3 linked regions of the Yarrowia lipolytica genome follow. The protein of the gene in region 1 purifies or fractionates together with the protein of each later gene. This does not show direct contact. Links are inferred from orthologs where the notes say so. Each region holds a gene or a part of one and is shown in the gene's direction. Other genes may lie near its edges.

Region 1 (9,390 bases):
TCGGCCTCTTTGGTTCCTCCAAAGTGAGTCTGGAAGCTCTTGTCGTGAAGGTTCCATCTGCGCGACTCGCTGGCGTATGTCCGCTTGGTAGCTTCTGTGGATGTCATACTTCCTGCAGTATGTTCATCTGAGGTCATGAAGCTCAGCAGCCCCGTCAGGATCGTGGACACGGTCCATGCGGGGTTCCACGTGTCCGGATGGTAGTCACTTATCGACAGGCACAGTCGTGTGTTGGGCAGGAACCTGCCTGATGGAGTAATCATTTTGATGGCCGGCGGCTTGAAGGGATACTCTGATGGGAAGAGCAGCACACCGTGGTACTGTCCGCCTTCGTAGGGAGTCTCCGGGGGACCTGTGATGAGATAATGCCACTCCAGGAGATTGTTCTCTGCTGGTTTCGCGGTGATGTAAGGAGGAGCGTTTTCCTGTATCGACGCGTACTCCTTGACTAGTCGTTTGTTAGCTGCTTTGGTCGCCATCGGAATGGAGTCTGTGTGATGCGCAGCTTTGGCGTGCAAATGGTTCTGATGGCGGCTTGATCAAATCTGTTTTTGCAGATTGTAGCTATTACAAGTAGTGTATGGGAGAGGTTCTGGAAGAACAACGCAGATAAAGTTCGTCGGTATCGTGATTCTACAAGTAGGTGCATTAGGGGTGCCTAGGGATATGACCTTCGTGATAGTAAATGTTTGTTTGAGTGAAGACCAAGTTAAACAACGACTGGAGTATATCTCAGAAGTAAATTCGATGACACCCCGAAGAAAACATGACTTTTGCCTCTCATTTCGGTTGCCACATATTCTGAACTACTATGGCTTCTACCCTAATCGGGAAGTGTATATAGCTTTACCGTTGAGTTGAAATCGTATTGGATAGGAGTATGTAAGCGACGTAGTGTACAAGCACTTGTACAAGTAGCAGATCACTCCAGGCATCAGAGCGCCTTTATTCTCTCATGGCACTCCTCATATCCACACCAACTCCGACTCCATGTACTTGTACTTGTACTGGTATACCTCATCGATTCAGATGGTCTATTCATTCATTAAATAAGGGTGACGTTCAGAAGACGTTCCAACGTGTACTTGTACTTGTACCCGTATCAACATATGTATCGTTTGATCCAGTCGCCAGGCCGCTGCCGATAGCCTCAAACAAATCTACTTCAGCGATTTACTGCTTGTCCTTGGCGACACCGGCGGGGAAAGAGCCCTGCGTGGTCTCCTTCTTGTCCTTGCAGTCGGGAACGGGGTCGGAGGGAACAACTCCAGAGGGAAAAGAGCCGGAAGCAGTGGGGATTTTGTCGCTCATTGGGAATGTAGTGTGGGTTTGTTTTTGGTGTTGAAGAAAGAGTATTCGCTCAGAGAGACTGGATATTTATATATTGGCGCCGTTGGGGCCTGCAGCAGCAACCGAATCATTGAACTCTGTCACCAAGGTGCGGTGTCTATGTAGATGGAAGTTTGTGGAAAAGAGAGACGCCGTTGGATGATGTCATGGAGAAAGATACGTCCGTGAAAAAACACATTTGCGAGTTACAGTGACCATAAGGGTAATCCCACCGATCAAGTAGCAAAACATTAATCATTTATTGAGGATGCTCAAGTTACTTTAATAAGTCCTGTAGACCAAAAAAATTGCCTTCGACCAGATTTGAACTGATGATCTCAGCATTACTAGTGCTGCGCCTTACCACTTGGCCACGAAGGCGAAATTTCTTTCATGTCAGAAACCAGATCCGGTTTAGTCAGTAGTTCAGCTCAGACCAGCGGCAACCTCGAGTCTGGATAAGACATGAAACGATTGATTTGATTTCTTGATCTGTTAGCCATGATTCACTACCACGAGACCACGAAAATGACATCAACTAGACGAAGCGTCGACAAACCAAACCGACAGCGCCCCCCCAGCGCCACATATGGCAAAGAATTCAGAAGTTTGTATGATTTTATTGAACGCCAATAACCCGGCTTACTAGGTATATAACTGTAATGAATCATTAGAATAAAAATATATAATTAATCTGTTACTTTCCTTTCCATTAAGAGATTAATATGTCAGAGTATCTAAAACATTTGGCTTTATCCGGTTGTAGGGCTGTTGCCTCATGGGCTTCTCTTCTACGGTCTTACCGTCGAATTTGTACCAATAATTTGACTTGAGTTTGTTACTGTAGCCCAGAAATATCCTTATTCGTCTCTCTCCACTACAGTATGTACATACTCCAGGTAGGAACACTACAAGAAGCGCCACACCACTCCCGTACCCCCCCTACCTATCAACCTCAACCAGCCTGGGGGCCGTGCCGCCTACATAGTTATATATGGAGCCTGTCTTCTCAGATACATTCTTCTAACTCTGGGTTACTAATCCAGCTTGACGGCTTGTACAAAACCATTGCCGAACTCCCAAATTTATGCGACAATCCTCCAGTATCCACCACCGCCACCAATTGTGGAACATGATAAGGTTCAGGGTTCATGCAAGGTGCAAAAAATTTGGGATTGTAGGTAAAATAAATTTCAGTCCATTGGTGCTACTCTCGCACACATACATCATACGAAAATGAAACGAAAGCATTCTGAGGTGTCTGAGAAGACGAAATCAGAAAAACCGGAATACAAGTCAAGCCTCAAGATGGAGGAGGGCGCGTTCCCCCGAGGAGGAGCTGGAGTGCTGTCTGCCATGGAGATTCGACAGACTGCCGATGAAGCTGCGAAGGACCTGTTCGAGGAATCACAGGCCGCCAAGAGCTCCAAGAAGAAGGGTGGAAGAAAGGCAAAGCAGGCTGTGACGAGCGACATTGTTGCGATCCAGTCTCTTTCTCTGGACAATATCTCTGTTGGTTCCATTATTCTCGGACGAATCGTCAATATCCAGTCCACCGCTTGTGTCGTTTCGCTGCCCAACAACCTGCATGGTTTCGTGTCTTGTGTTCAGGTCAGTGAGGCACTCAACGCCAAAATCGAGGAGGGCGAGGAGTTCGACCTTTCGGACTACGTCAAGGAGGGACAGTGGGTTCGAGCTTCTGTCGTCGATACCTCTAACAAGCGTCTGGGTCTCAGTCTGCTGCCCAAGGATGTCAACAGGGATATTGAGGACAGTGACATTGACGCAAACATGGCTCTGCAGGTTGAGGTCAAGTCGAAGGAGGATAAGGGTTACGTTGTTGCTACCGGTATCAAGGGCAAAAAGGGCTTTATCAAGGACACCGACGTTGAACTCAACAAGGGACAAATCGTGTTGGCTTGCGTGCTTCGAATCAGTGGCCGAACAATCACCCTGGACACAGAGCATACCGGTGAGGCCGTCCGGCAACTAGAGGACTTCTCCAGCGCTGTCGCTGGTACCCCAGTCACAGTCGTCACCACCGATAAGCGAAATAACGGAGCAGTGGTTTCCGTCTTCGGTTCCGTTGATGCCACCATTGATCCCTTCCAGGGATCCTTTGGCCTTGAGGAAAAGACTAGCTCTGTTGCCCGAGTTGTCGCTACTCTCGACCGTGGTGCCAGCGGCAAGCGAATGCTTCTCTCTGCTCTGCCCCACGTCGTCAACTTGGAGGATGCTGACCCCAGAATCGGTGAGGCTTTCCTTCCTGGACAAGTTCTGGGCGTCAAGGTCACTCATGTCGTTCAGCACGGTCTGTTTGTTGAGCTCGCCGAGAACATTCCTGGTTTCATTCACATCTCCAAGCTCGCTGATGAGAAGACCGATTCTACAGCCGACTACGAGGTTGGCCAGACTCTTGATGCCAGAATTATCGCTTTTGCCCCCCAGGACGAGATGTACGTTTTGTCTTGTGAGCAGTCTGTCATGGATGCCAAGTACATTGCCACCAGTGATTTGTCTGCTGGTGACAAGGTCGAAGGTACTGTAACTAGGCATCTCCCCAAGGGCGGTATTATCGTGGCACTGTCATCTTTCATCACCGCTGTTGTGCCTGCTGCTCATCTTGTTGATGCCAAGATGGCCAACCCCGAGCTCAAATTCAAGATTGGATCCAAGATAAAGGGCCGACTTCTCGGTGTGGACAGCAGCGGTTGCCGAATGACCATCAAAAAGTCTCTCTACAACTTGCCTAAGGACGATTTTATCTCCTACGCGTCTGAGATTGGCGACATTGGTTCTGGAACAGTTGTAAATGTCAAGCCTGGAGGGTGTGTCGTCGAGTTCTGGGACAACTCTCAGGCCTGGCTTCCTGCTGGAGAGGTGTCTGAGGCTTTCATCGCTGACATTACCAAGCATTGTCGAGTTGGCCAGACCGTCAAGATCCGAATTCTGGATATCAACCCTGAGAAGCAGTCTATGCAGGTCTCCTGCAAGCTCTCCAAGGTTGCCGCTGAGCATGTCTCTGGTGCCTACGAGGGCATCTCTCTTGGAGACCTTGTTACCGGTAAGATCATTGACAAACGAGGTGACTTTGTTATCGAGATGACCGTTGGTGATGTCGATCTCACTGGCGTTGTTCCTCGAAACCTGCTCCCTCCTAGTCACAAGAAGCTGCGTGTGGGAGACAAGCTGGAGTGCGTTGTCCTTGCCAAGCAGCCGTGGATGAGCTCTATGACTCTCGGTGCTCATCCTGACATCATCAAGGGATACCATAACAAGACTCTGATCAAGGAGACTCCTTCTGTTGGCCAAACTGTCACCGGTTGGGTCCAGAACGTCAACCAGCACGGTGTCTTTGTGTCTTTTGCAGGTGTTGTCGGTCTTGCTCCTCAGGCATCTCTTAGTGATGACTCTTATGACAAGTTCCAGGTTGTCAAGGGTCGAGTGACTTCTGTCAACGGCGACAAGTTTGCGGTCTCTATTGGAAAGTCTCTCAATGGTCCTGCCGTCAACCCCGTTGACCCCAGCATCTCTACCATTGCTGACTACTCTGAGGGTAAGAAGACCGAGGGTATTGTTACTGCTGTTCTCCCCTCCTTCGTCTCTGTCCGTCTTTCCGACAACCAGAACGGTCGAATCTCACTCTCTCAGCTCGAAACTCCTGTTGAGAAGGACGATAAGATCTCTGTGACCGTACTTGGTCCCTCTTCTCAGGGTGATCAGATCGAGCTGGCTACTAACGATGTTCGACTTTCTATCAATAATCTTGAGGAGGGCAAGGCTTACCCTGGTGTCGTTGTTCAGTCTACTGCGGACTCCATTTGGGTGGCTCTGTCTGCCTACATTGTCGGCCGTCTGGATCGAGCTGATGTTCAGGAGGCTGACTTCGCTGATGCTGTTGGTGACCTTGTCGAGGTTTCTGTCTGCGGTATTGAGGGTGACAAAGTCAAGCTTCGAGGAGCTCAGTCCGAGGAAAAGTCTGAGGGCTTCTCAGAAGAGGCGCTGCCCGCCTCCAACGGACTTCAGGGTGCTCAGGTGACTGCTCGAGTCAAGAAGATTGAGGTTGACTACGTTCAGTGCACTATCAACGTCAATGGCAAGTCCTCCACTGCCACAGCCTCTCTTGTGGATGCTGTCGATGATTACTCTCTCAAGCTCAGCAATGTCTACGACATTGGTGAGACTGTTCCCGCTGTCATCTGCTCTGCCAAGGAGCCCTACGCCATTTGCATTCGAAAGAACCCGGAGGGTGTCGATCCTCTCCCTTCGCTCCCCCTCAAGCGAGGTGACAAGGTCAAGGGTGTCGTCACTGGTATTGCTGCCGGTATCTTCGTTGCTATTGGCCACGGCATCGATGCTCGAGTCAAGATCACTAACTTGTCCGACTCTTTCCTCATGGACTGGAAGAAGTATTTTAAGATCGGTCAAATCGTCACTGGTCGAATCATGGGCTTCTCTGACAAGGGTCTCCCCGACATGTCTCTCAAGCAGCGTCATATGACTGGTGACAAGCTCATTGAGGGTCCCCAGGATCTCACTGTTGGCCAGAAGTACGACGGTTCTGTCCAGCGAACTACCGACTATGGTGTCTTTGTCAACATTGGAGACGCTACTGGTCTGTGTCATAGATCCGAGATTGCCGACACCCCTGTTGGTGATTGCTCAGAGCTCTTTAATTCGGGTGACAAGGTCCGAGTTATTGTTCTCAAGATTGAGGGCAGCAAGGTCTCGCTTGGAATGAAGGCTGCCTACTTCGAGGGTGATGAGGATGACAATGACGAGGAGGACAGCGATATCGAGATGGAGGTCGAAGAGGACTCCGAGGAGGATGAGGAAGACAGTGAGGATGATGAGGACGAGGACGACTCTGAGGATGAGTCTATCCCCACCATTCGATCTACCAAGCAGCAGCAGAAGAAGGCCAAGTCCACTGCCATGGATGTTGGCTTTGACTGGTCGGGAGACGTCTTCGGAAAGGAGGAGGAGCAGAATGGTTCTGATTACGATGATGAGTCTGACGAGGAAGATGATGCCCCCAAGTCTCGAAAGAAGCGAAAGACTCAGATTGCTGACATCACTGCTGATCTTTCGACTGCCACCCCTCAGTCTGTTGGTGATTACGAGCGTCTGCTTGTTGGCAACCCCAACTCCTCTGTTTTGTGGATCTCCTACATGTCTTTCGTCATGCAGCTCTCCGAGCTTGAGAAGGCTCGAGAGATTGCCCAGCGTGCTCTTAAGACCATCTCTTACCGAGATGAGGATGAGAAACTCAACGTCTGGCTCGCTCTTCTCAATTTGGAGAACACTTTTGGCACTCCCGAGTCCACCGACAAGACCTTCAAGGACGCTGCTCAGTACATGGACGCCGAGACCATCTACATGAAGATGGCTGACATTTACGCTGCTTCTGACAAGAAGGACAAGGCAGACGAGGTCTATGCCAAAGCTGTCAAGAAGTTCTCTGGCTCCATGGAGGCGTGGATCAAGTACGCCACTTTCCTGTTTGATAACGAGCAGGCTGCGAAGGGCCGAGTTCTGTTGGATCGAGCCACCAAGGCCCTGCCCAAGCGAGACCATCTCCAGTGTGCCATCAAGTTCGCCCAGCTTGAGTACAAGTCTGGAGATGCTGAACGAGGCCGAACTCTTCTGGAGGGTCTGGTGTCTGTCTACCCCAAGCGAACCGATCTGTGGTCTCAGTTTGTCGACTTTGAGATCAAGTATGGCCAGGACAAGACCAAGATCGAGGCTCTGTTTGAGCGAGTTGTTGCCTTGCCCAAGTTGTCTCTCAAGCAGGCCAAGTTCTTCTTCAAGAAGTGGTACCAGTACGAGGTTGAGTCTGACGACGACAAGGCCGCCGAGTACGTCAAGGCCAAGGCGGCGGATTACGTTACTCAGCGAACAAAGGAGGATGAGGAGGAGGATGAGGAGGAGGATGAGTAAAAGAACGGTGGATTGTTGGTTTGTGATAGTATTGGTATTAATTGATTATTAATGATAGAATTACGTTAAGACTTGTACCTGTATTGTATATAGTAGCAGTAAGCGAAGACTATTGGAACAAGTACCGGTGGTCCTGCTTGACTTGTGGGTCCGTGCCCACAATGCCTCAAAACGCCAGATGGCGTGAGCCCATTCTCGGATGAAGTTCATGAGGTCAAACTGAGCCTCAACTAGCACACTATCCTCCATTGTGGCCTGGGCCGGGTATCTGAAGACAGGAAGACGACACAGTCGGAGCATGTGGAGCTTTTCGGCCCTCCGGGCATTTATCCTGTTATGATTGCCTGGTAGCTGGTTTGCTTGTAGCCAAAGTTCATGTTTGGGGTCGCGTTCCTGATCGAGCAGGGCCATCCAAACATAGTTCTTCATGACAGTGAAATGCTTGTGCCAATTGCCCATGGCCTCACGGGGCGTTATCGGCAGAAGGAATAAGAGATTATCGATCTACACTTCGGACATCAGGGCCATGGGGGGATCCACACGTTGCTGGTAGAAGGAATTTTTTTATTATTTTTCTATGGAAATACATTTCAACTACTTGATGCCTACAAACAATGTTATACCCGAATATCGGACTCGGTTTTTTTTATTTTTTTATTTTTTTATTCTCATGATTCATTACAGCTATATACCTACTTGTAGTAAGCCGGGTTATTTGCGTTCAATAAATCATACACTTCTGAATCTTTGCGATGTGCGCTGCGGGGCGCTGTCGGTTGGTTTGTCGATTCATGGCATTCTGAGTTGAACTGCTGACTAAGACGGATCTGGTTTCTGACATACATGTAATCCGCGCCGATGGTTTAGTGGTAAAATCCATCGTTGCCATCGATGGGCCCCCGGTTCCGATTCCGCGGGTCGGCGGCAGTGTGGTTACGGCCCATATCCTGGTGAAAATACGGCTTCCCGTCCGATCAGCCATAGTCAAGCACCAGAGAGCCTAGCTAGTATTGTAGTGGGAGACCATACGAGAATCCTGGGTGCTGTAATTTTTTTTGGCCCCGATTCACCTGAATGTTCTGTGGCATGTTTGGTGCAACATTGTTTTTATCTGTTCACAATCACCAGCTCTTACAGTAACTACGAAGGCAATTCTTAATTATTCACACAATGGTCATTCTATCATTGGGCAAACTGAACCTTCCCAACAACCATCATATCAACAACCCACTAAGTGATACCTCCAAATAATATCATTCGTTATGTGGAGAAGCCTGCTGCCGTTACTTGCACTCATACATTGGACACAGGCAGCATGGTGGATCACAGAAGATACCCGGTGTGACCCTCTACAGAAAGGCTGGTTGCCATACACAGGATGGAGATTCTTTCGGTCATTTGATTACTCCTTTGGTTTGAGAGCACTCGCGTCTGGTGGCTTTCCGATCAGCTCAAGGCACTTTATTCGAATGACCCACTGCAATATGGGCAAGGTGGACTATGAAGCTGGAGTGCCCTGTCAGCGGAGGGACGACTTCGTGTGGAACACAGACTACTGCATCTCGCCTACTACGTGCTTTCGGCCTGTCCGACGTAAGAAGTACGCCACACGAGACATGGCAATCTACCTTCCCTTTGCTACCGTGGTAGGAGGTCTGTTCATCTGTCCTAATTTTCGAGCTACTGGTATCAATTGCACCAACGAAAACGCAGTTCCAATCAAACCGCTGATAGCAGACTTCGCGGGATACAAATGGACGGAATACCCAAGCTACACCAACGTGGAACAACAGGTTCCATACTTGTACACTCCAGATATACTGGATGTGCGGTTCCGAAAACCTTTCACTAGCGAAGATTGGTCGGAATTTTTGGACGTGAATGAAGATTACGACTGGTCTAATGATGATCGTACTGCTATAAACAAGGCTGTCACGGACTCTCTGAACTTGCTGCATGGTTACCTAGATGCTTCAGATGGGGTTCTAGCGCAAGCTACCTCAGGGAGTCATTGGAGAACCATGTTTGGACAGCTTGAGGGAGCTACTCGGGAATTCGTTTCTGATACTCTTCGTTCCATGGCAGATAGAATCAGTGTTAAAGAAAAGAGAATAAGATAAT
Region 2 (7,719 bases), on another chromosome or scaffold:
AATGGCGGTGATGACGGGAAGGGGGAAAGCAGAGAAAGGCTGGTTGACACCGATACCGCCGAGGAAAACCACGGCCTCCATTCCCTCTCGAAGGGTGGTCACAAACGGTAGGATGGCCAGAGCGTACTTTCGAGACAGGTACTTGAGGCCCCAGCCGCCGTGGCCCTCGTGGGTCTCGACCAGAATCTTGGCAATCTTGTGTCGCCACTTTTCTCGCATCTTGTTGATTCGCAGCATGGCGGCTCCCATGATGGTGATAATGATGGACGAGACAATGGAGAAGACGCCCTCCCACACGTTCTCAGTCATGCCCCACAGATCGTGTCCGTAGATGTAAAAGGTGGCAATGAACGCACCTCCCACGGCCAGACAGATGAGCAGACCGAAGATTCCACCCAGCCATACCTGGGTAACAAGCCGTCGATACACTTGCAAGTCCTTCTGGGACACATTATCGCCCAGACCCTGGTTGAGGAACGCCAGAAGCACGGAGATGATAATCGCCGTCTCAATGGTCTCTCGGAAGATGATGAAGAAGACCTGAACCGAGAAATAATTCTCGAAAAAGTCCGCGTAGTTGACCATGTTGTGTTGTGGAGTACAACCTGGAAAGAGTGAGTCTGGTAATTAAAAGCGACTTTTCAAAATAAGCTCCGTAGGGGTTAGAGTTGGGCGGCGTGGTGGTGGACATTTATCAAGGGGCAATCGGGGGTTATAGGGGCGGAATTTGAACGCAAAAAACAGATCATCCCACTACTAACGCGACAATAAATAGATTCAAAACATCTCCCGTTCAATTTGGCCGTCCCTATAGCTCTTTAAACGCCTCTCTTATCTGATGTTGCTCCATCTGATAACTGCACAACCTAATTATCCGGAGCCTATTTTTCTGCGTATAACCGTAACGGAGGAAACAACAAAACGGTGGCAACAGCTCCCAGAATCGTCGCAAACCGGGAAGTAAAAGGCGAAAATTCCTCACAGTCACGTGAGAAGTTTGTGCCCGTCACATGATGTCCAGGGTTCCGTCTTGGGTTCCTGGTACCCTGTTATTTCGCCATCCCATCACTCCGCCACCCCACACACCCATAACCCTTGACTAGCACGGCTCATTAACAAAAAGGCAAAAGGGAAGCATCGTCACGTTGCGGCTAATTGGAAGTGTATGGAGGAATCAATTTAGAGAAGTTTGGCGCAGTCCGATCAAAGCACAAGTGGCATAGAACGACTCCTCAGAACGAGCCAATCAAAAACGGTATGTTTTTCTCCCACATTGGACTCTTATTAAGCAACTAGAACTCCACCGAAACTGATTCGGAGCGAATCTACCTTGCACCTGAGTTCCGTTATAAAGTGGAATGTTCATCTCCGACAACAGAACTCACACAACTTGCCCAATTGAGCTCCGATTGGGCCGCCAGAAATTTCAGTACATCTGCTGTCCCTCGCTGACCATTTCTATATATAAATATTGCCATTGTACCCCGTCAAAACAGACACAGACTAGAACTAGGCATTGCCAAAGTTTACAGCAATACCCTGCACTCTTGCAACAGAACATACACTAAACATGCGCGACAATGGTTTAGAACGGCGCTCGGGGTTTCTCCTTTCCTTTTTATCCGCATTAGTCACGTGCGGCCAAGACTTTCCACCCTCAACTGCATACTATCTGCGTCCCCGTTAGCCACTTTGAGTGCAACTACGGTGGGTCTGTTTAGTCCAGATCGTCTTCTCAACAGGGTTGTATTTTGTAGTTAGTTGCAAGGAGGTAAAAGACTATAAACCCGAAAGACCTTGTTTGTGAATGCGAATCCACGTGAGTTCACGTGGTTGGCACGTGGCTGTATGCCTACGACTGTTCTGGTCAGGCTGTCACTTGTGCATTCTTTTTTTTTCCTTTCTTTTGTCGAGTTCGTTAGCAACATGCACTCGGAGTCCGAGCGGAGCTACAAGCACTCACCAAGGAACCACAAGCCACAGTGGCGCAGCCGAATGAGACACGGCGCACCGATCAGATAACGTCATCTGATAAGAGGGGAAGAGCTTGTTCGTCAGTGCCGTGTAGTTTCAGGGCCGTTTGGAGTGTCATACGTTGAAAACTGTAGTGCATAAAAGACAGTCGTTGTGTCAAGGCTAATCCTCTTTAGTTGAATGTTTGTTAGGAAAGGGTGTTCTGTGATACCGCAAGTTATAATTTTTTAACATATATTTCAGAAATACTAGGGGAATTTCAAGCCTGAAATGACAAAGAAAGTGTTCAGATTGTAGAACTGAATGAACAGAACGAATTGGGACCATCTTTTCCATTCATTTGTACACACCCACTCGATCCAGCAGAACCGATTGGGAATGCCACACTCAGACAATTAGTTAAGATTAGTTGGAATCAAGCGCACTTATTTGTTATGTTTTTTATTAACGGAGGGATCTCTCAGAGAACTCATTGATCTAACTAAGGCAATATGAACAAGACAAATTGTCATAAAGAGACCATTCCAAACCACACCATATCCTCTATCATTCCCCTGGGACTCTTCCTACGCATCCTACGACGTGGTTTGGTTCTCCCTATTCTGCTCACCATCTAGCCCTAACCTCCATGCATCTCAATGCACGTTTAAAAATTATTTTTCCAGGCTGAATATTTCCGTACACACTCACACCATGGCTATCAAACAGAATGCGAAAAAGGGCGGCAAGCCTGGCAAGCCAGGTGGAAAGCCTCCTGGTGGGGGCAAGCCTGCTGGCGGCAAGAAGGTGTTTCGAAAAATCAAAAACGGCTTTGTGGAGCCTCGAAAAGCGAAAGCGGCCAAGGGTACGACTGTGGCAGCCATGGACATTGTTTCTGCTGCTGATCTGAGTGCCAGCGAGAGCGAAGACGAAAACAAGTTGAAGGATTTCGCCAAGTTTGACGATGATGAAGAGGAGAAGGAAGACAAGGGTGGCAAGGCCGAGAAGGACGTCAAGAAGGATGTCCAGAAGGACGTCAAGAAGGATGTCCAGAAGGATGTCCAGAAGGATGTCAAGAAGAGTGTCAAGAAGGATGTCCAGAAGGCTGGCAAGAAGGATACCCAAAAGGATGTCAAGAAGGCTGATGCTAAAACTAACAGCGCCATTGAGGGTTTCGCACAAGCCACTAAAGGTGAAGAGGCTGAGGTCTCTGTGCCTGCGAAGGAAGTTAACAAGGCTGCCAAGAAGGAGGACAAGGATGTGAAAAAGGACACTAAGACAAAGGATACTGTCAAGACTAAGGTCAAGGCTGCTGTTTTACCCGAATCTGACGCAGAAATGGACAACTGGTCAGATGCCGAGTTTTCAGACGGTGGGGAAACCATCGATCTTCCTGCACCCGGAACAAAGCCTCTCGACATTAACAAAATGAACTGGAAGAAGGTTGAGCTAGGCGACAAGAAGATGGACTTTGAGGGTTTCTACGGACTTGAAGAGCTGGACGGTGTTGATATTGTGGTCAACAACGGCCTTCCTACTTTTGTTGTAGGGGAGAAGCCTGAGAAGAAGAACTCTAAGAAAGAGACCAAGAAGGCCGAAGTTAAGAAGGATAAGTCTGGGGATGCCTCTGAGCCAGCCAAGAAGAAGGCCAAGGTTGCCAAGGACGGAAAGGACGGCAAGGAGGTTGCCAAGACTCAACCTAAACAGAACAGCAAGAAAAAGGCCGAGGGAAACGCATTTGAGGCCCTCAATAGTGTGCCCGACGACATTCATCTCCCTGACTGGACTCTCAACGGCGAGCAGCTTAACTACTCCCTCATCCAGGGCCTGTATGCTCTTGGCTACAAGTCTCCTACAGAAATTCAGAAGAAGTCGATCCCACCCATTCTGGCGGGTGATGACGTGATTGGAAAGGCCAGTACCGGTAGTGGTAAGACGCTGGCGTACGGTCTGCCGATTTTGCATCGATTTTTGGAGGCTGAGAAGTCAGACAAGAAGGAGGAGGTCGAGGAGGAGGTCCCTGAGAAGTGTACTACCAAACCCAGACCTAAGAAGGTGACCAAGATGACCGGACAGGAAGAAAAGAAGGACGACGAGGAAGAGGAAGAGCGATTCGATATGTACGATGAGGCTCCCGAGCCCCGCTTTGATATTTCCGACCGACCTGCTGACCTTCCTGTGCTTGACAAGGAGCGAGAAGACCGAGAAAACGAGGTGGAGATGGACGAAGAGACCGAAAAGGTGGAGAGAGACATGTCTTCTGTTAAGCCTCCTCAGGCCATTGTTTTTGCCCCCACCCGAGAGCTTGCTCATCAGATCACCGACCATTTGAATGCCGTGTCTCAGTTCTGTCCTATTTCTGGACCGCGAGTCATGGCTCTGACCGGTGGACTGTCTATCATGAAGCAGCGACGTCTCATGAAATGGAACCCTGCCATCGTTGTCGCCACCCCAGGTCGATTCCACGAGTTCATCACCGATACCGACGGCATGGTTGATGTGTTTAAGCGAACCAAGACTGTGGTAATGGACGAAGCCGATCGAATGCTTCAGGATGGACACTATGAGGATCTTGACAAGGCCCTGGATCTCATTGGACGAGGAAAGGTGGCCAAACGACAGACATGTGTGTTTTCAGCCACCTTCCAGAAGTCGCTCATGTTCAAGCTGGACAAGAAGCGAAAGCAAAGAACAGGTCTGGCCACCGATCAGGAAACCATCCGATTCCTCGTGTCCAAGATGAAGTTCCGACAGTTCCATCCTACTTTTGTGGACGCCAACCCTGCCGAAGTTGTCGCTCGACAGGTTCTGGAGAGTATCGTCGAGTGTGGCGCCATGGAGAAGGACCAATACCTATACTACTTCCTGCTGACCTACCCCGGCAAATCCATCATTTTTGTCAACTCCATCGACTCTGTCAAGCGTCTCACTCCCATGTTGCAGAACCTCGAGCTCCCCGCTGTGCAGCTGCACTCCAACATGATCCAGAAGGCCCGTATGCGGTCCCTAGAGCGGTTCCGAGACAACAAGAACGGTATTCTGGTTGCGACTGATGTCGCAGCTCGAGGTCTGGATATCCCCAATGTGCACCATGTTGTGCATTACCACCTGCCTCGAACTGCAGATGTCTACGTGCATCGATCTGGACGTACTGCTCGAGCGGGAAACGAGGGTGTTTCTGTGCTCCTGTGTTCGCCCGACGAAGCGTCGGGACCTCTGCGAAAGCTGCGAGCTGCCCTGTCACGTGACAATGCTCTTGCGAAGCTGAAACCTCTGTCCATGAACTACGACGTGCTGGCTCAGATCAAGCCCCGAGTGGAGCTTGCCAAGGAGTTGGCGGATTCGGTTCTGGACTCCACACAGGTTGGCAAGCAGGATTCGTGGCTCAAGGAGGCTGCCGAGGACCTTGGAGTCGACTTTTCCGACTTTGAGAACGATACCCACGATCACAAGAGCCATGTGCGAACCAAGCTAGGCAACAACAGCAAGAAGGGCATGAAGGTGATGAGCAAGGACCAGATGGCTCGTACTCGAAAGGAGCTTGAGAAGCTACTTAGTAAGCCTCTGGGACGACATTCGTCCAAATACATCACTTCTACTAACGGAATCAACTTGGCCAAGATGGTTCTGGATGGAAAGTCGCATGACAAGATTATGGGAGTGGCTCCTCAGACTGCTGGAGAGACCCTGAGAAAGAAGCGAAAGAACTAGAAAGCGAATAGCCGAAGTTCAATGCGGACCAAAACATGGAGGAGTTTATAGAGCAATCATAATGGATAAGATGTACTGTTCAAGTTCAACAGTAGTATACCGTACAGGTGCTGGTTGAGTTCTACAACCACTAGTTTTGTGCGTAATCAAGACAAATGATGGGAACAACTGGTTACCTCAACAATACTTTTGCACCTACATATCTCTAGGACCGCTCAATTGTTCAAGACTGTATTGTATTTTCATTAGTTACATCCCTTTAACATAAGAGAAGGAAATGAACAATTCCTTCAGTAAGAGCGACGTACAGGCGATTAATAGCTATAAGTAGCCCACAAAGCCTCTCATTCAGAGTCATACATTTTCCGTTTTATTAAATCATAATTGCATCCCATCCATACTTTACAATCCCAGCGGCAGCGTGCTCTAGGTACCGGAGACACACTAACACACTCTCAATGACATTTCTTAGTGCTGCACACTATTCGGTTAGAACCGTCCCCGACCTCTAGGTCCACCTCGTCCTCTGGGACCACCTCGGCCTCTAGGTCCTCCACGGCCTCTCATAGGTCCGCCTCGTCCTCGAGCCGCACCTGGTCCACCTCTTGCCGCGCCAGGAGCACCAGGCTCAACCTTTCTTCTCTTGGCCTTGGGAGTATCATCAATCAAAAGAGTATCCAAGGGTAGCGAGTCGGGGAGAATGAAGAACCGGATTGTGTTGCCTCGAATGTTGATGTAGTCGAGCGAGGTTGGGGGTCGGTTCTTCATGGTCATCTTCACATTCTTGAGTGTCGTGTTCATATTGTTGGACACAGACATGACTGTTCCGAGAAGAACGGTACCTGAGTTAGTAATGACGTAGGGGAAAGGGGGCCGCCATGTGCACATTAGAGGGAGTGACAGATGCAGACACAGATACTGACAGAAGACCCTGATAGAGCCAGAGTAGACCGAGCTCTGTGGAAGTAGGAACAGCTGTATTCAGCAGACAGCATATTGATTTACCAGACCCCAGGGTAAAACAGGCCGTGACTGTGATGTTCCATGGTCTTGATCAAAGGCGGACAGGCAAGAAGAGCATGAGAAATCAGCCAGAATATTGTAATAGAGGTAGACGGATCGTGTGAACTGATGATACCGCAGCGAATAACGTCATTTCCTCTTAACGTCAATGCGTCTGACCACTGTCTGTTGATCTCGCATATTGCGAATCGCGTCTGATGGGGTCAAGCGTGTATACACGCGAGAAGACAGCAATGCAAGCCGCTATAACACCATATACATTATCAGCTGTCACAGTATCACACCGAAACCATTAGCCAGACTCCCGGTCCTCTCTTGTCTGTGTCTCTTCTCTCTTACCCAGTCTCCCATCAACCTTCCGTGTACCATAGTCAGTGTTCTTATGAACCGCCATGTCACCGTTTGAGTGGAAAAAGAATGTCACAGCTTGTAAAGCCGTTTGTGCAATGTCAGCCCGCATCAGTCAACATTCTCGCCTGCTCCTTCGCCTCCCTCAACTTTAGTCGACATGTACATGTTGACTCGTTCATAGTGGATCAGACTTACAATAGTAACAAACCCATCATGATCGAGCCACGTGTCTGGATAGCTGTTTGTGCCACAATGTGGTTGGTTGTTGGGCTCTCCTCCGCCATCAACTCGAGCTTCTCGCTCTTTCGTTCTGTTGTTCGCTCGTCAGACGTGCTTCGCACTCTGCACTAGTTTCCGCACTCACCATTCTTCAGCTCAATCTGGACCGACTCCGAGGTCAGTTTCATCAAAAATCTGTGTTAGCAAAGCTCGCGGGGACGCCAGTGCTCAATACTCACCTGACCAATTTCATTTTGTGCTGTGGTGATCGAGAAGACGATTTCCAGATATGATGCAGTGTTTTTGCCAAACTCAATCTGATGAGTAAGCAAGGATGGAGAATAATGCAAGAATGGGTGGGAGCAGACAAGTTCAAATACCCAAGGGATAGACTGAGAACGACAACAATGCTGAACTCCCGTCACTGATAATAACCCTCCTTGACTCATAACCTGTTCATGA
Region 3 (6,362 bases), on another chromosome or scaffold:
AAAACAAATTGGGGTGATTGAGCTGTAGGGGAATTGAACCCCTGGCACCTGCTAACAACTGAATGGAAGGCAGATATGTTACCACTACACCAACAGCCCCGAAACATGCCCAGTTTTTTATTCTTGCGCACCAACGGTGGGCGGAAGGTCACGTGACCTGAGTTTTGGAGTGGGATTATTGGTGAAGGGGTGAGGATACTGGAGTTGGAGAAAAAGTGGTAATCGGGTTCTGGAAATTCTTTTAGACGGTTCTTCTAGACGGTTCTTCGACTTAGATGGTGTCGACGTAGATGAATGTCGACGATAAGGCCACGGAGTGTACGCGTAGTGTACTACCATTCACCTAGATTACTACGATACTCGTCCACAAACTAGCCAGCACGGCGCTGACTCTACATCTGAAGCACACTTATCTAATATGTTATCATTAACTATACGAGTATCCTTCATGCTCCTATGTTTGACGATCGAATGGCTATGGCAGTCAATCCTTCTGTTTGCATTGCAGTTTGATACTCGTTCATCAGCTCATCTAAGCGGTTTCATTCCAACTTCCCCTCCAACTACCCAATCCAGAGCGCAACTCAGTAACGCATTGCTACTATCGGAACTACGCCTCACCCATAACCACCTCCGTGGAAACGACATCAAAGGTTCGGACCTTTACGTCCAGCACGGCAGTGACGCCTCTAGGGAACTTGTAGCTCTGCTGCTTCTGCTCACGCACGTTCGGGGTTCGGTAGTTTCTGTGCAGCACTGCGTCCTTGCCCTGCTCCATGACACAGATGTCAACGTTGGAGCCGGATCCCAGATCGTTCCAGATACCGGACTCGATGGCGTCGGATGCAAGCTGGATCGCCTCCTCCTTGGTCAGCTCCTGCTTCCAGTTGGCTTCCAGCACGGCCATGGCAGCCATGGATCCGGAGCCCAGAGCGAGGTAGTATCCAACGTCGGTCGAGCCGTGGGCATGGATCGACATGAGCTGGGGCCCGGTGGGGTCGACGCCCGCCACAATCAGGTACGCGCCAATGTGGCCCTGGTACTTGAACAGGTGCTGTTTGAGCATGGTCAGGCAGGTGACCACTCGGGGCTGTCGGCCCGCAGACAGCGAGTGCAGCTCAATGTTGGACGCGGTGAGCTGGGTGACCATCTCCGTGTCGGCAGCGGTGCCGGCTCCCGCGCACCAGATGTGGGGAGCGATTCGATGCAGCTTCTCGCAATTTTTGTCCGCCACAATGTCGCCACTGGTGGCTCGGGTGTCGGCCGCAATCACCACGCCGCCATCGAACTTGCATCCGACAATTGTCGTTCCGGTGGAGGTCGCGGTCGGCACCTTGACGCCCTTGGCCGACAGATGCGCGTTTCGCTGGTAGTTTGAGAAGGACAATCCTGGCATTGTGTGTTTTGTATGAAGATGTGTACAGGTTGGTGATGTGCTGGTTCGAAGTACTGTAGATATAGCGTTGGGACCCAAGGTGGCAATTAGAGTTTGGCGGTGGGATTTGGGGGAGAGATTTGGGGGTCTTGGGGAAATTTGGCAGGGAAATGGAGGTGCGAGATTTGTCGACGAGGTTGGTTAGTGGCTACTGGGGTTTTCTGCCCGAAAAAACAACCAGAAATGGTCGCTTTGGGTCACCCTCTTGTCGGACATACAGTCTGACACTAAGGTAATCTTAATAAGCAGATATATGAAGAGATAGGAAATGAGGACGATAGAGGCGGAATATTGCAAATCTGACCTTTCAGATGAATTTTACAGCTGTAGAGCTTCAAAATGATACCAAAACGACCCTGATTTGCAGAGTTTTATAGGATGTGGCGAAACAATGTAGTTTCAGTGGAGTTCGATACGATCTCCCTGAATCAGACAGAGGGTCTCAGAGACTGAGGAGGCGTCATAATGGGCCTTTTTTTACAAATATTGATTTGGTTAGAACTTGAATGGCATCACTAGGGCCGTTTCCCGAGGTTTCCTCTTCTAGAGAGTCAGAAAGACGTCTGGTTGAGGTGATGTGGAGGGACTAGAATAGAAACAACTGTACCATTGTAATAAGCTTAATGAAAGATATCTAGCAATATCCAACACCCTTCACTTGGTGTACTGTGGCAAAAGTTGGTGTGTTCATAAGCTGGGATGGTGAGATAGTTGTGGAGAGACCCTGAGAGGCACAATGAAGGGGTACGGACAGTTGTAGAGTTGAAAAACAGGCTTGGTGACACAAAGGGACTAGTGAATCGGCCTTTCTGGTTTCAAAATGGCCCTTTTTCTCATCATAATGTTGTGCTTGCTAAGTTGTCAGCATATGAAGACGTGAAGAGTTGCTGACTCGAAAGTCCAAGTAGGAGCCCGAGAAAAGTGGGAAAGAATGAGAAAGAACCGGAGAGGAGTGTTTCAGCTTTATTTCTTGTACAATAATGCATAGACTAGACACTACTCTACAAGTAACCTGGTATCTCAGTCAAGCCATACACAGACCTCAGGGAGAGGGTACAAACACCACTCTCACTCTCCTAGAAGTTATATAGAGACCAGAATTGGTCAATTTAATGGATTTAGCATCTTTCAAACCCGCAGAATCCTCCATATATGTTCATATCTGGTTCTTTCGGACTCTAGACCATCCCCCCACGTCCACAACCACCCCAAAACGCACATCAGAATAAGAGAAAATGTTTCTTAGTCATCAAACTACATACTAAACCAACTAAACCAACATATACAACTCTCCAGTCCACAGTGTCTCGGGCGAACATGCTCCAGAACTAGTCGTTGTGCTCTCGTCGATACTGGCTTAGTCAGCACAACCACCCATCTGCAACCTTAAAAAAATATTTTCGATTAGCCTTCTATTTTCTGTTATCTGGCACCACCTTGCAACCACACAACCATCATGAAAATCAAGACCATTTCGCGGTCCACGGACGCCTATCTTGCCGACCGAGCCTCCGAGACGTCGCGGCAGCCCCGAAACCTCGACTCCGCGCTGCATCCCTTTGAGCGAGCCCGAGAATACACAAAAGCGCTGAATGCCACCAAGCTGGAGCGAATGTTTGCAAAGCCGTTTGTGGGCCAGCTGGGACGAGGCCACATCGACGGCGTGTACACGATTGCTCTGAACCCGCGGATGCTCAACGCTGCGGCGTCGGGCTCTGCTGACGGAGTGATCAAGTACTGGGACCTGACGTCGCAGGAGGAGACTTATTCCGTGCAGGCCCATGAGAACATTGTGCGTGGTCTGACAGTGACACCCGAGGGACGACTGCTGTCGTGTGCCTCTGACAAGACCGTCAAGCTGTGGGACATGAAGAACAAGAACCCCGACCCCAAGCAGGTGTATCTGGGAGACCGAGGCTTCAACTGTATTGACCATCAGCGAGGTCCCGACACCTCCAAGTTTGCCACTGGATGTGGAAAGGTGCAGCTGTGGGACACCACCCGGTCCAAGCCTCTTTCGTCGCTGTCCTGGGGCGCAGACACCATCACTTCTCTCAAGTTCTCTCCCTCTGAGCACGCTGTGTTTGCCTCCACCGGTTCCGACAGAGCCCTCACCCTCTACGACATCCGAACCAACTCGCCCATCAACAAGCTGGTCACCAGCATGAACAACAATGCCATTTCATGGAACCCCCAGGTGCCGTTCATGTTCTGTGCCGCCAACGAAGACCACAATGTCTATCTTTACGACATGCGAAACCTGTCTGCATGCACATCGTTCCTGCAGGACCACGTGGCTGCGGTCATGGACGTGGACTACTCGCCCACCGGCCGGGAAATCGTCACCGCCTCTTATGACAAGACTATCCGAATCTTCAACGTCCGAGAACGGTTCTCCAGAGACATTTACCACACCAAGCGAATGCAGCGGGTGTTTTCTGCAAAGTTCACTCTGGATAACAAGTACATTCTGTCGGGTTCAGATGACGGTAACGTGCGTCTGTGGCGAGCCAAGGCCTCCGAAAAGGCCGGTGTCCGGTCGTCCAGGGAGCGGGCATCCCGAGAATACACCGACGCTCTCAAGGAGCGATACAGACACATGCCCGAGGTGCGGTCCATTGCCCGACACCGACACGTGCCGTCTGCCATCAAGAATGCCCGTGAAATCAAGGGTATTGAGCGAAAGGCTCTCAAGAGACGACAGGACAACGAGAGAAAGCATAACAAGAACCTGCCTGACATTCATCTCAAACAGCAGCATATTGTTGGTGTTGCCATCAAGGACGATAAGAAGATTGAGGAGTGGAAGAGAATTCAGGAGGAGAAGAAGCAGCATAAGGAGAGTGTTGAGGGAGGTTGGAAGAATGTCTAGTGTTTTGCAGGTGAATAGCACGACGAGAACACGTGAGGAAATGACATCTGACTACACGACGATATTAATATAGACCTGTGAAACGACATTCCACTTTCGACACAACGTCGTCTGTCACAAGTGACATGGCGCACACAGCCGCGGTCGTGTTTCAAAAAAGATATAACATATATATGAGTGCATTTTTTATTATTACTGTACTTGGTTGAAGACTGATGAGCTGAACACATCCATCAACTCCGCCACCCCCTGGACTCTGTAGTCAGTCAGAAAGATATGGCCGGATGGGATTGTTGTGGAACGGCCAGAGGTTGAGCGACTTACGAAAGTATCAATACAAATACCTGGAATACAAATACCAGTACCGGACCGTTATTCGAGTGGATGTGAGGACTTGAGGTCCGATTTGCTGGTGGTAGAAGGATGAATCTACGTTAGTTGCTAAGTCAGTCAGTCCGTACTGGTACGGTACCTGTCTCGCCGTCCGTCGTACGTTAGTTGCTAAGTCAGCCAGTACGTACTGGTACGGTTCTCGTCTCGCCGTCCGTCGTACTGGTACGGTACTGTCTCGCAGTCGTATCGTACGCGCCTCGTACCGTCTCGCAGTCGTATCGTACGCGCCTCATACCTTCCGTCGCACGCTACCGCCCGTCGCACGCTACCGCCTCGCTGTCCGTCGTACCGCCTCGCACTCGCGGGCTCGCCGGACCTCCTACCACTTTCAATTGGCTGACACCTTATCCCTGTGTGTGTTCGGACTATGCGCTCATTGTTTACAAGTATGACGTGCATTATCGTAGGTGCCAAGAGCTGAGATACTGCTTGCTGCGGCTATCTATGGGGTTTAGCGGATGATATAGAAACAAAGGCTGGCATCTAAGCAATCTGGACGGGGCGAAAACCGAGTCGCGGTCCGTGCGACACGAAAAACACGTCTTTTCACCCCCAGCAACGGAGTCTAGCTCCCGCCCCAACTCTGTGATAAAGTTGAAAGGAAGAATGCTAACAATAGATTGTAAACACAAGGGATGTGGGCCAGAGAGGCGCTTATTCGCAGTGGCAAGCAGGGAAAAAGTCGTTGATCACGTCATTAACAACTACAAGCAACAGTGTCGTTGCTTCCTTTCGTCACGTGATAGCCCCAGTCCCGCGTTTGGCCCTCTCCTCGATCCCGCCGCCTTCCCCCTGCATCTACATACTCCAAGGGATGACGTGCAGGAGCCAAGCGTTCATATTCAACTCTAACCCTGGCTCTGACGCGGTATATATATATAAGCGGGGAGGCGTCTCCGTCTTTCGTCTTTCGTCTTTGTTAGTTCCAACCAACGTTCGTTTCTGCCACATCCACCATGCGACTCTCCACCACTCTCATTGCTGCTCTCTCCACCCTGGCTCTTGCTGCTCCTGCCCCTGCCCCTGCCCCGGTCAACGCCATCGTCAACGGCGACAAGCTCAAGAACATCGAGCACCTTGGAAAGCGAGACCTCAAGAAGATCGCCCAGGAGAAGGTGATTGTCAACGGCGACCAGCTGACCAAGGAGGCCAACTAATTGTGTCCGACAAGTGACTGAATGTCAAAGATACGACATGGTCAACCACAAACCAGCCTAGAGAACACTTTGCTCACTGTATATTTAATCAATTAATAATGACTACAACATGTTGCCGTTGATGACTGACGTGATATCACCGCTTGATGACTAACAAGTAACATCAGTTGGATAGAGATGGATAAAGCGATTCGAGGGGATTATTTTGATACTTGACAAAGAGATACCAGGGATATACTGAAAGGAAAGTACTTGTAGCTACTTGTAGGTTAGTCGTAGTCCAACGAAGGTGCGAGTCTCTCTTCATTATATCATCATTTTTTATTAAAACATATATTTTTGATTATCATTAATAATCTTTCAAACAATCTCCGATTTGCTGACTAAGACTACACTAATGGGTAGTCTACTCAAGCTGATTATTTTGATATTATGTAATCACACCTCGATTACTAGGGACAATACATAGTCTCTGATTTGATGACAAACGAGCTATTCGCTAGAC

The links.
Region 2: the proteins of YALI1_E35580g (region 1) and YALI1_A05052g purify together in Saccharomyces cerevisiae (affinity purification with mass spectrometry; 3 studies listed by BioGRID). This does not show direct contact. The link is inferred for Yarrowia lipolytica from reciprocal best matches to the Saccharomyces cerevisiae genes RRP5 and MAK5.
Region 3: the proteins of YALI1_E35580g (region 1) and YALI1_D17370g purify together in Saccharomyces cerevisiae (affinity purification with mass spectrometry; 3 studies listed by BioGRID). This does not show direct contact. The link is inferred for Yarrowia lipolytica from reciprocal best matches to the Saccharomyces cerevisiae genes RRP5 and SOF1.

What each region holds. Positions count from the first base shown.
Region 1 is NC_090774.1:3,555,413-3,564,802, forward strand, and holds YALI1_E35580g (uncharacterized protein), read left to right. Parts: upstream 1-2,565; coding exon 2,566-7,269; downstream 7,270-9,390. Other genes in the region: YALI1_E35559g (uncharacterized protein), read right to left, coding at 1-479; YALI1_E35639g (uncharacterized protein), read left to right, coding at 8,532-9,389.
Region 2 is NC_090770.1:502,609-510,327, forward strand, and holds YALI1_A05052g (uncharacterized protein), read left to right. Parts: upstream 1-2,667; coding exon 2,668-5,664; downstream 5,665-7,719. Other genes in the region: YALI1_A05031g (uncharacterized protein), read right to left, coding at 1-585; YALI1_A05091g (uncharacterized protein), read right to left, coding at 6,154-6,552. UniProt on the Saccharomyces cerevisiae protein: ATP-binding RNA helicase involved in the biogenesis of 60S ribosomal subunits and is required for the normal formation of 25S and 5.8S rRNAs. Required for the maintenance of dsRNA killer plasmid.
Region 3 is NC_090773.1:1,734,173-1,740,534, forward strand, and holds YALI1_D17370g (uncharacterized protein), read left to right. Parts: upstream 1-2,891; coding exon 2,892-4,307; downstream 4,308-6,362. Other genes in the region: YALI1_D17355g (uncharacterized protein), read right to left, coding at 611-1,396. UniProt on the Saccharomyces cerevisiae protein: Required for ribosomal RNA processing.